Linked DNA regions of Drosophila melanogaster. The main gene of each other region encodes a partner of the protein of the gene in region 2 in a complex. Each region holds a gene or a part of one and is shown on either strand. Other genes may lie near its edges. The genes, in order: msd1, dgt5 and dgt3.

The links.
Region 1: dgt5 (region 2) and msd1 share a complex: the UniProt entries of both Drosophila melanogaster proteins name them as parts of the augmin complex.
Region 3: dgt5 (region 2) and dgt3 share a complex: the UniProt entries of both Drosophila melanogaster proteins name them as parts of the augmin complex.

What each region holds. Positions count from the first base shown.
Region 1 is NT_037436.4:1,329,881-1,332,959, reverse strand, and holds msd1 (mitotic spindle density 1), read right to left. Parts: upstream 1,217-3,079; 5' UTR 1,179-1,216; coding exon 1,142-1,178; intron 1,087-1,141; coding exon 707-1,086; 3' UTR 634-706; downstream 1-633. Other genes in the region: msd5 (mitotic spindle density 5), read left to right, coding at 1-608; ND-ACP (NADH dehydrogenase (ubiquinone) acyl carrier protein), read right to left, coding at 1,501-1,680, 1,790-1,918, 2,011-2,097, 2,670-2,819. UniProt on the Drosophila melanogaster protein: As part of the augmin complex, plays a role in centrosome-independent generation of spindle microtubules.
Region 2 is NT_033778.4:12,469,586-12,473,340, forward strand, and holds the start of dgt5 (dim gamma-tubulin 5), read right to left. Parts: upstream 2,191-3,755; 5' UTR 2,144-2,190; intron 2,138-2,143; exon of another isoform or gene 1,967-2,137; coding exon of another isoform or gene 359-1,966; intron 298-358; coding exon of another isoform or gene 1-297. Other genes in the region: CG8545 (uncharacterized protein), read left to right, coding at 1-297, 359-1,966; Nepl10 (Neprilysin-like 10), read left to right, coding at 2,330-3,755. UniProt on the Drosophila melanogaster protein: As part of the augmin complex, plays a role in centrosome-independent generation of spindle microtubules. The complex is required for mitotic spindle assembly through its involvement in localizing gamma-tubulin to spindle microtubules.
Region 3 is NT_033778.4:20,992,558-20,996,312, forward strand, and holds the start of dgt3 (dim gamma-tubulin 3), read right to left. Parts: upstream 1,825-3,755; 5' UTR 1,767-1,824; coding exon 1,749-1,766; intron 1,698-1,748; coding exon 1,369-1,697; intron 1,307-1,368; coding exon 944-1,306; intron 883-943; coding exon 217-882; intron 158-216; coding exon 1-157. Other genes in the region: Prosalpha3 (proteasome alpha3 subunit), read left to right, coding at 2,434-2,436, 2,546-2,751, 2,889-3,474. UniProt on the Drosophila melanogaster protein: As part of the augmin complex, plays a role in centrosome-independent generation of spindle microtubules. The complex is required for mitotic spindle assembly through its involvement in localizing gamma-tubulin to spindle microtubules.

The DNA.
Region 1 (3,079 bases), on a different chromosome or scaffold from region 2:
CAGCAGCCACTACGCCCCCGAGGGATCTTAGCTCGGTAGCCGACTATGCGGAGCTCTTCAAGACCTTGGAAGAGTACCCGGCCAACCTGCAGAAAATGCCCAAGAAGCGGGAGCTACAACGTACCAACTCAACGCTCCTGCGAGGAGCAGACGAGTCGGTGGCCATGGGCATCAACACATCCAACGTTTCGCTGAGTCTGACGCGTCTGGAGGAGCAGCGCAGTGCCGTGGACGTGTACAATGATTTTAAGGGTTTCCAGCGAAAGCTGGCCAAGATCTACGACGAGGCAGCCGCTCTGGACACCACAGAATCCATATACAAGCAGAAGCTGACGCAGCTCCATGGATTTGCGCAGCAGCTGGAAAAGCTCATGCCAACCGGCGGTGAGTCTCCGCCAGATGCTTTTACATCCGAGCAGCAGGAGAAGCTTCTGACCATAGCCGCCAATATGGAACAGCTCAACTACCTGCGCTCCAACAGCCTCCAGCTGCCCAATCCCAATGAGATACTCGCCACCGGGAGTCTTGCCGCTCGCCTGGAGATGTTCGTAGAGGTGCTTACCTATACGCTTCTCCAAGTCAGCAGCTACAATATGGCCATGATTTGAAAACCTCGCTTAAAGAGCTTTAAATACAAATCAAATGTTTAATTTATTTAAATTATTTTTCAACTATAACATAATAATAAATTCTAAAAATGGATGAGCTAGGGGGAATCCTCGCTGGCATACTGCTCTTCCTGTGAGTTCTTCATCTGGCCCACGGTGTCGTAGAGCGCCACCAGCTTACGCACGGAGCTGCCAAGGTGCTCCACGCGATGCCTGTAGGCCAGGCAGCCCTCCAGAGCGCTGTATGTCTCCTCCCGCTGGTCACTGCTAGACATGAGCAGCTTGAAGTTCTCCAGGATCTTGGACAGGGTCATCTCAGCCTCCGGCCTGAGGTTGTACATCTTCTGGGTCTCCGACAAAGCCACATTCTGACTGAATGCCTTGCTGTTGGACTCGATGTGGAGCAATGTGTTGTTCGACCGCTCCATTATCTCGTCTATCTTAGCCAGCTGGCGGTTCATGGTCTGCCGATTGGCCGCTGAAATTGGAAGCACGGAATAGAACGCGTGTCGGTGGTTTAAAGATATATTTACCCATTCCCGCCAACATTTTGTCCACAGCGTCTGACATTTCGAATATTCTGTTTGTAATGCTAGCAGATTAACGTGACCGTCGCTGCGTATCTAAAATACACAAGGCTTTCTAAAACAATCGAAAGACCAACGTTTCTATCGAAATTTAAATTTAACCGCCAGTACTAAATGACTCGTTTATTTATTTGGATAGTTAATTTATTAGCTGCTATTCCGCAGTTAATTATAGCCCTCGTGTACAATTGCTGACTACAAGTTAATTTAACGTTTGGTTTATTCAGTTGATCAAATTGTATTTGACTTGTTTTCTATTTAAATTTAAGTGTAATCCGTTCAATGGCTTGCATTACAATTACAATTTACTCGTACACATCCTCCTTGTCGGCGACGTACTTAATAATGTCGGCAGGTTTAAGCAGCTTCTCGGCATCAGAGTCGGGGATCTCGAAACCGAACTCGTCCTCCATGGCCATGATGACCTCCACGTGGTCCAAGGAATCCAGTCCCAAGTCGTTGATGAAGTGCGACTCAACGTTGAGCTGTAAATGCGAGCCATTAGCATTGGGTATTCAAAGGTTTCATCAGCTTTGTTCAGTTCTGATTTCTGAGGCGACCATTGCACTGGCAAAGGCAATATGTGGCGTTTACCTTGCTGGGATCGATCTTGTCGTAGAGCTTGAGCACAAGCAAGACGCGCTCATTGATCAGCTTCAGCGAGAGCGGCGGTTTCGCCGAGTATCTGCGCACCAATTGCGTTTGCCAGCGACCACGGCACTCCTGGTTTTTGGCCGGCCCGAGAAAAAAAGGAAGGAAACAAAGACCGGATTAGTGGCGCCATGCAATGGGTACTTTACCTTTTCGGCGGTCACTTTGTCGTAGGCGGAGACAACCTTTAGCACGCGGAACTTGATGTCCTCGATGGTGCTCTTGGCCGAGTAGCTGCGCACACCGAACTTCTGCGAATGTTAATGTCTAGTGAATTTTCGTCTCTATATGAATAATTGCATTGGTAGTTCATCTACGACTTATGGTGCATACAACTTAGCTAATTCTTCAATGAGCAGTGTAAATATATACGCAATTTAAACGAGGGTGGTTCGATGGTGTATGATCAACTGATTAAATACCGCGAAAACTATTGCTTGGATTGGCGTGGAAACATATTTAGATATTTAACAAACTGAAATCACATGTTTTAAAACCGCTACATTTTAAGGTCACTTCTAGAGGATTTTCACTGTAGTACAATCAACCGCACACAAGTGCGAGCACCGGTGTTGCAGGTGTATGTGTGTGTGTGTGCGATAGGGAAACAATCATGTTTTATGCAAAATAATGTGATGCAATCGAATTGGGTGGTTCGACGGCCACATGGCGAGGATCTTCTGTTGCGTTCATGATTGCAAGCACTTAATTGAATGTTTTGAAACTCGTAGATCACGAAACCCCGCCGTTTGCGATGAGGTTAGGTCCTCAACTGCGATTGGGGCTCCTGCAACGGAAGGGACCGCTTTGGACGTTCGCTTACTTGGCTCAACTGGCTGGTCATCGATGGCACGGCGATCCTGTGCATCATCCTGGAGGCCTGTGATTGGATGAGAATGCCGGAGGCGACCCTCCTTGGGGCCAAAGTGGCCGCCAGTCGACTGCAGCTGCGCGCGATCTGTGTGAACGACATCTCGGTTCTCCTGCAACGGAAACGCAGCGGGTTAGTATCGCATCTCTGCAGACGGTGCACGAGTGCAGGTCTCGTATTTTGGGCGATATTTACGCTGAGTTTTCAAGATTATGTAAAAGTGCTGGAGCAAGAAAAAGACAGCAAGGTAGCAGTGTGACCGTATGCGCAATGTACTAAGCTGTTTCTCAACTTACGCAAATAAATACTAAAAATACTTAATACTTGAATAATGAGTAAGTAACTTTCCCAACTATAATTTA
Region 2 (3,755 bases):
GCCGACGACGAAATGTTGGAAACCGTTGACAAGCAGGATGTTTTCCAGCTACCCGTCGAAGGCGAAGAAACCGAGAAGGACCTAACCCTGCAGGAAGTGCAACAGCGCATAAAGGACGTCAGTCTGGTTCTTTCCGACTTCAAAAGGTATCGTCAAGCGGATAGGTCTCGCGGGGAGTACATCGATTTGCTGCGCAGGGATCTGTGTTTGTATTACAGCTACAACGAATTTTTGATGGAGAAGCTGATGGATATGTTGCCGCTGACAGAGCTAATGGAATATCTGGAGGCCTCAGAGGTTAGTATATTTCATAAAAAATATAGTTACAAGATTAATCATTAAAAATTAACCCCTTTAGATTGCTCGTCCCCTAACCATACGCACCAATACTCTAAAAACACGTCGTAGGGATTTGGCCGGAGCTCTGATCAATCGTGGCGTCAACTTGGATCCCCTTGGTAAATGGACGAAAGTTGGATTGGTTGTCTTTAACTCACAGGTGCCACTGGGTGCAACTCCAGAGTATCTGGCTGGCCACTACATGATCCAGGGCGCCTCTTCGCTGTTGCCTGTAATGGCACTCGCCCCGCAAGAGAACGAACGCATCCTGGACATGTGCTCCGCCCCAGGTGGAAAGGGATCCCACATCGCAAGCATCATGAAGAACACTGGTGTGCTCTTCGCCAACGATTCTAACAGGGATCGCATCAAGGCCATTGTTGCCAATTTCCATCGCCTGGGAATTGTAAATGCAGTGGTCAGCTGCGAGGATGGCACTAAGTTCCGGAATATTATGACTGGCTTTGACCGTGTCCTGCTGGATGCTCCGTGCACTGGAACTGGCGTCGTCTCTAAGGATCCCAGTGTGAAGACCACCAAGTCGGAAGTAGATGTACAAAGGTGCTACAACCTGCAGAGGAAGCTTCTGCTGACTGCCATAGATTGTACGGATGCGAAGTCATCAACTGGCGGCTACATTGTATACTCAACTTGTTCGGTGTTGCCCGAGGAGAACGAATGGGTCATCGACTATGCACTGAAGAAGCGAAATGTCAAACTTGTGCCCACTGGTCTGGACTTCGGCGTGGAGGGCTTTACCAAATTCCGTCAGCATCGGTTCCATCCTAGCTTAAACCTTACCAAGCGCTACTATCCGCACACCCACAACATGGACGGGTTCTACGTGGCCAAGCTCAAGAAATTCTCCAACACCATACCCATAACTAAGGAGCAGCAGGAGGAGGATGAAAAGCAGCTGGATGAGGCCATCGAAGCGGACGCCACTACAGAAGCGGCTGCGGAGTCTGAGGAGGTGGAGGAGGAGGTAGCGTCAAAGGAGAAGGGTCCCCGAAAACTGCTTGGAAAGCGCGCCGGAAAACCCAGTTTCACCGAAATCGAACAGGAACTGAAGAAAAAGAAGCGGGAAGAGAGCAAGACCAAGTATGTGGCCAAGGTGTTTGAGCAGCCTGTCAAAAAGCCAAAGCCAGAAAAGCCAGCAGAGAAGAAAAATGAGAAATCCCAGGCACCGGACAAGCAAACAAATTCAAGCGAGTCACCTTCCAAGTCTGCACCTAAACAAAAACAAACCAATGGGAAAACCACTGTTTCCAATTCAGATGCGAAATCATTCAATAAAAAGAACAAAGGATCGCAACCCAAGGAAAATGGAGCCGGATCACCAGCTAAACCAGATGACAATAAGCCAACAACCAATGGCACAAACTCCCCTAGCAAATCAGCAATTAAGGAAACGAAAACGAAGCCACAGCCGAAAGGAAAACAGTCGCCCAAGGGAAACGCCAAACTGGCCAAGGCGCCGCGAGTGGATATCGACGATGTGCCCATTCTCGAGGGAAAACCCATCAAGAAGCAGAACAAGCTGAAGCAAAAATCCAAACAGATCGGCCAGCTGAAAAAGTCCACGGCGGGTGCGAATGCGGGAAAGAAGCAAAAGTTCAAGAAGTGAACACCTTAGATCCAGTTTTGTTAAGTAGACTATAAGCGTGTGACATATAGTTGGGGTAGTCCCGACGCGATTACCAATTTTATATTGCGAACTGTCTTAGCGAACGATTGAAGATTGAACTACAACAGCGGTGTAATTAAGATTCAATAAACGTTAAGATCGGTTTAATGTACTCACCAAGCGGGTTTATATAGGTGGCAGGCACATTTCATTAGAGGTAATTGCTCTACATTTCAAATGTGAATTCTAGTATTGACCAAGCTGTCACTATCAGCCCCAAAGCTCTATAGGTAGTTCGAAGGTGGCCGAGCTCAGCAGAGCGTTGCGATAATCTGTTGTTTCATTGTGAATCGAGCGAGCTTAATGGGATGTTTACTTTTACTGTGCTCTTGCCTGGTGGCATTATTCATTCCCATCCAGGCAATAGTGGACATCAACGTGGCAACGTCGAACGATATTCACAATAATCTCAATAGAACAACATCACCGTGCACGAATTTCTGGAATTTTGCCTGCGGTCGCTTCTCCAGTGCCTCTAAATATGTGGACAACTTTGAGCGAGTCGAGGATCAGTTCGCCACTGCCATGGTGGAATTCATGGAGAGCCACTTGGGTGAAAACGATACACTGGCACCCCGACTGATAAAGCAAATGCGACAATACTACAAGGCCTGCAAGGAGGATACGCGAAAGCTTCACGGGAATCCTCGTCCCGAAGAACTGGTCAATCAGTGGATTTTGCATCCTAAAAAATTTCTCGTATACGGCTTGAATGGTGTATTCATTGATGAGCGAGTTGATGTGGCCGCCAATGATTCCATGCGTTGGGTTATTCAGTTAAGGATGCCTGACCCGGCTGATAGATATAGTGACCGCCGTGTCTTGCAGCTCATGCGCCTTTACGAAGAAGCGTGGTACTCGATGGGAGTGGTTAAACTGGTGGAGAAAATGCATCAGCTGCAGGATAAGTATCGTGCAGAATATCCTGTTGTATATACATGGAGTTTCAGTGAATTAAGGCAGGAAATCCCTATTCCGCATTCCTTTTTTATTGAGTTATTGGGCGTGAACCACACCGAGGAGCTTTATCACCTGACTTTCGAGGTGAGTGATGTTGAGTATTTGCGGGAATGTTTTCGCTGTCTACGGGATTTCGCCAGTGAGCCGAAGGACACGTACATTCGAGCACGCCAATATGTTTTAGTGGAGGAGTCGGAGCCAAGGGAGCGGAATCCAAGAAGCTGCATTCACCATATGCGTGCCTATTTACCCCTGGGCATGAACTACATCTATGATCGATTTATATACCAAAACCGGGAGGAGGATACCAGTAAGGTACTGGAGATTTTATCCACTTTAAAGGCAGCTTTTGGCCAATATTTAGATGCCAATCGCCTGCAGCTTACGCCAAACCAGTTGGCCTATGTAAGAGCAAAGTTGGAAGGTATTCAGATCAAAATAGGAAATTTGCCTGAGGAGAAATCTCCTGAGTTCTATAATAACCACTATGGAAGTGCGAACTTTTCCGCGACAAACTTCCTGGCCAATCTCCTTGAAGCATTTGCCCTACGTACCCGTCTCCAGAATGCTGGACTGCTTGCAAGGAATTCTCGAGTGGATCTGCGGCACTATTATGTCAACGATAACGTAAGGAAGGCTCGCACTTCTCCCTTCTATGAGAACGAAAGGAACACCATTACTGTTCCCATGGAATTTTTGCAGTGGCCCTTGTTCGATCACCGAGAGCACACCATCTTCCAGCACAGTCTTCTGGGCGCAGTCCTGGGCC
Region 3 (3,755 bases), 8.5 Mb from region 2:
CAGGAAATCTTTTCGCAAGGAACGCCCTGACTCATCCAGGCGAGTTTGCTGCTGGGTGACATTGTATATGGCGCTCAAGTAGCGAACGTTCTCAAACATGGGCTGCTCCAATGGGGAATCATAGACAAACGGCCGCAAAGTCTGCTCCAAGCGCTTGCTAAAAAAAAATATTAATAGCTTAAACGATCTGTATCAAAGTTAAGTATTGCAACTTACAGTTCTGCCAGTTGATCCTGAACAGCAGCACACGACTTTCGGTTCAGCATGCTCTGAAAGGAGTAAGACAGCAGGCGACCGAACTTTTCGTATTCGAAGAGACAAGCCTTGGCCTCAGTTGCCTTTATGTTCTGTCCCAAGTGGGCTGACAACAAATTGGCAATCTCCTGCACAAACTGGGCACAAATGCCCTGATAACTGGCGTTAATGGAGCGCATGGTCTGGATTCTTTGCCAAGTGGCCTGCGCTTGGTCGCGCAACTCCTCCGAAGTGTCCAGGCAGTTGCGCTTCTTGTCGCAGTCCAGTTGGATCGCAATCCACAGCAATTCCGCATTGGACAGAGCATCTGAGATGATTTTAGTGAGCTTCTTGTCGCTTTCATGACGTCGAACAGCTCTTTCCAACTTCAGTTTAGTGTTCTCGTAGAGAACCAGCTCAATACGTCGCTGGGTGTGCTGCTGAATGTGAATGGTTAGATCGTTTAAAAGCGTATCGTGTGTATTGCTCAGTTGATAGTCGTTGAGCAGCTGCAGATCGTGCATTTCACGCGCCATGTCCGTTAAACTGAGGCAGTGAATCTTGCCAAGATCCAACTGGTCAATAAGACACTGCGTGGCCTTCACCTTGGCCTTTGTTCTTATGTAGGATAGTGCATAAAACTGGATGCTGTAAAAACGGTCATATCAATTAATGTGCATTGTTTTTAGCACAGAACCTTTGTGCTTACCCACGTTCCAAGTCCTCCAGCTTGGCCTTTTCGCGCCCAAGATCTTCCTCCGCGCTCTGGAACTCATCATAGTCCTGGATCTTAAAATTCTCCTTCACATACAGAGTAAAGTATTGCATAAATGAATCGCATTTGTGGAAATACTGCTCCAATGGCAGTTGATGCATGAATAGAGGCGGCAACTGTGGGGCGGTGAATGCCTTTTTGGCTTCGGCGCTTAGCCGGCAGTTCTCCTGCTGCAGTTCCTCCAGTTGCTTGGCTTTGGACTGGCACTCGGCTATCAGATCCTTCTCCCTCAGTTGCAACTCGGCGGTGACGCACTCCACCTCGCCTAGGTGCTTAGTTATCGAGTGCTTTGTGGTCCTGCAAAAGTGGATTGACCATCGATCGAACATATATGAGGAAGGTTACAGTTTTTCCCTTACATCATATCTTCCAGAAGCGTAGCATAATCCCTTGAGGCATCTTCGATCGCCTCAATGCTCATGGTCAAGGCGTCGACATCCTGCTGCTTGTAGTTGAGAAGCCCCGGACTTTCGGCCTCGATTTGCAGGAGCTTGAGCTCGCGATCCGAAGCACTTAGCCACTCGCCCCGCCGCTGCATCTCCTCCCGCTCCAGAACCTGTCGCTCTGTGAGGATATTTGCATCCGTGATGTTCCCGGACAGGAACTTGAAGAACATCTCCATCTGCTCATCGTACAGAATCCACTGGTTCGAGCTGTCCACTCCCAGCTTCTTGAAGAATTCCGAGTTCTGCAATCATGGCGATTATAAGCTGATCATTAATTAAATCATCACACATACGCTCAGCAGATCGCCCATCTTTTAAAAAAATGACAACACAAGCTGATTACTTATCGGTTATATCGAAAGGTTTCAGAGACGTTACTAGAGATGGTACCTTTTGAAAATTAACAGGAAATAGTGCTTAATAATTAAGCTTAATAAAAATCGTAGAAATTCCTGATTTCCTATCAACGATTTCATGAAATATTTACTCTTATCTATTTCTGTTAAATATATATATATATAATATATATAATATATATATATATATATATATATATATATAATATATATAATATATATATATATATATATATATATATAATAAATTTCTGTTTATTATATATATATATTTTATATATGAATTATTTTAAATTTTTGCTATGAAGTAAGGATACAATTTTTCTAAATTTGACACAAGTTCTTAAGTTTAATTCAAGTAAATATTATGTTTTAGTACACCTCAATCTTAAAGGGCTTATAAATTGATCTTTGTTAAAATGATTTTAATACCTTATATCGATATGTGGATAAACGTGCACACCACCCCTGGTAAATAGAAACACCCTAACGCCATCTAGTTTGCAGCCCTGGTACCGCTTTGGACGCACTTCGTGTGGCAGTCTGGCAACCCTACACTGAATGACAAGTAAATTCTGTTCGTTTTGCAAAATAAACTTGTAAATTGGTATATTCCTTAGCAATGGTAAGTACCGCGCCCAGAAGACCGGTATTGGTCTGAGAGCCACCATTGGGCCGATGACCATTGAAGGCTAGCAATCGTGGTAGTAATTGACTTGCGTGTATTTTCCCAGGCTCGCCGCTATGATTCCCGCACCACGATCTTCTCGCCGGAGGGCCGTTTGTACCAGGTGGAGTACGCCATGGAGGCCATCTCGCACGCCGGAACCTGCCTCGGAATCCTCGCCGAGGACGGCATCCTGTTGGCAGCCGAGTGCCGCAGCACAAACAAATTGCTGGACAGCGCCATTCCTTCGGAGAAGATCTATCGCCTGAACGAGTGAGTTGAAATTTCAGTAGTATATCCTACGATGAATTCAAGGGTCACAGGCCATATATTTAACTGGCCATGATCTTAATTACCCACTACATTCTCTACGAATCTATCTCTATCCAAGCCTCTTTGTTTTCCCTCAGCAACATGGTCTGCTCGGTGGCTGGCATCACCTCCGATGCCAATGTGCTGACCTCAGAACTGCGTCTGATTGCCCAGCGTTACCAGTTCAGCTACGGCGAGGTGATTCCCTGCGAGCAGCTGGTGTCGCACCTCTGCGACATCAAACAGGCGTACACTCAGTACGGCGGAAAGCGTCCCTTCGGCGTCTCGCTGCTCTACATGGGATGGGACAACAAGTACGGCTACCAACTGTACCAGTCGGATCCCAGCGGCAACTACGGCGGATGGAAGGCCACCTGTATTGGCAACAACTTCGGTGCCGCGATCTCCATGCTGAAGCAGGAGCTGGCCGATAAGGAGAACGTGAAGCTGACGCTGGCGGACGCCAAGGATTTGGCCATCAAGGTACTGAGCATGACCCTGGACACCACCAAGCTGACCCCGGAGAAGGTCGAGATGGCCACGCTGCAGCGTGTGGACAATAAGACCGTATACAGTGTCCTGGAGAAACCCGATGTGGAGAAGCTGATCGAGAAGTACACAAAGGTACAGGCGGAGGCCGAGGCTGCCAAGAAGGAGAAGCAAGCGAAGCAGCCGACCAAGTAATCCCAAGGATGCATTATTATTGATTAAGGGTCTATCCTGATTTTTGTAACCGATGTACGGAGTGTGTGAAATAAAATTTCAAAAAACAAAAACCCACTATCATTGTGCCAATAGGGATGGCCGATTAATCGATAACAGTGCCATTGCCATTCGCAGCGAAGAGCTGCTAAATATGGCCAGCGACGGGCAGTCACTAAAAAAATACCGTACAAAACATTTTGAGAAAAATTCCGTCGCTTTTTATTTGCTGTTGCTGTTATAAAAAATTCAATTATACTTGC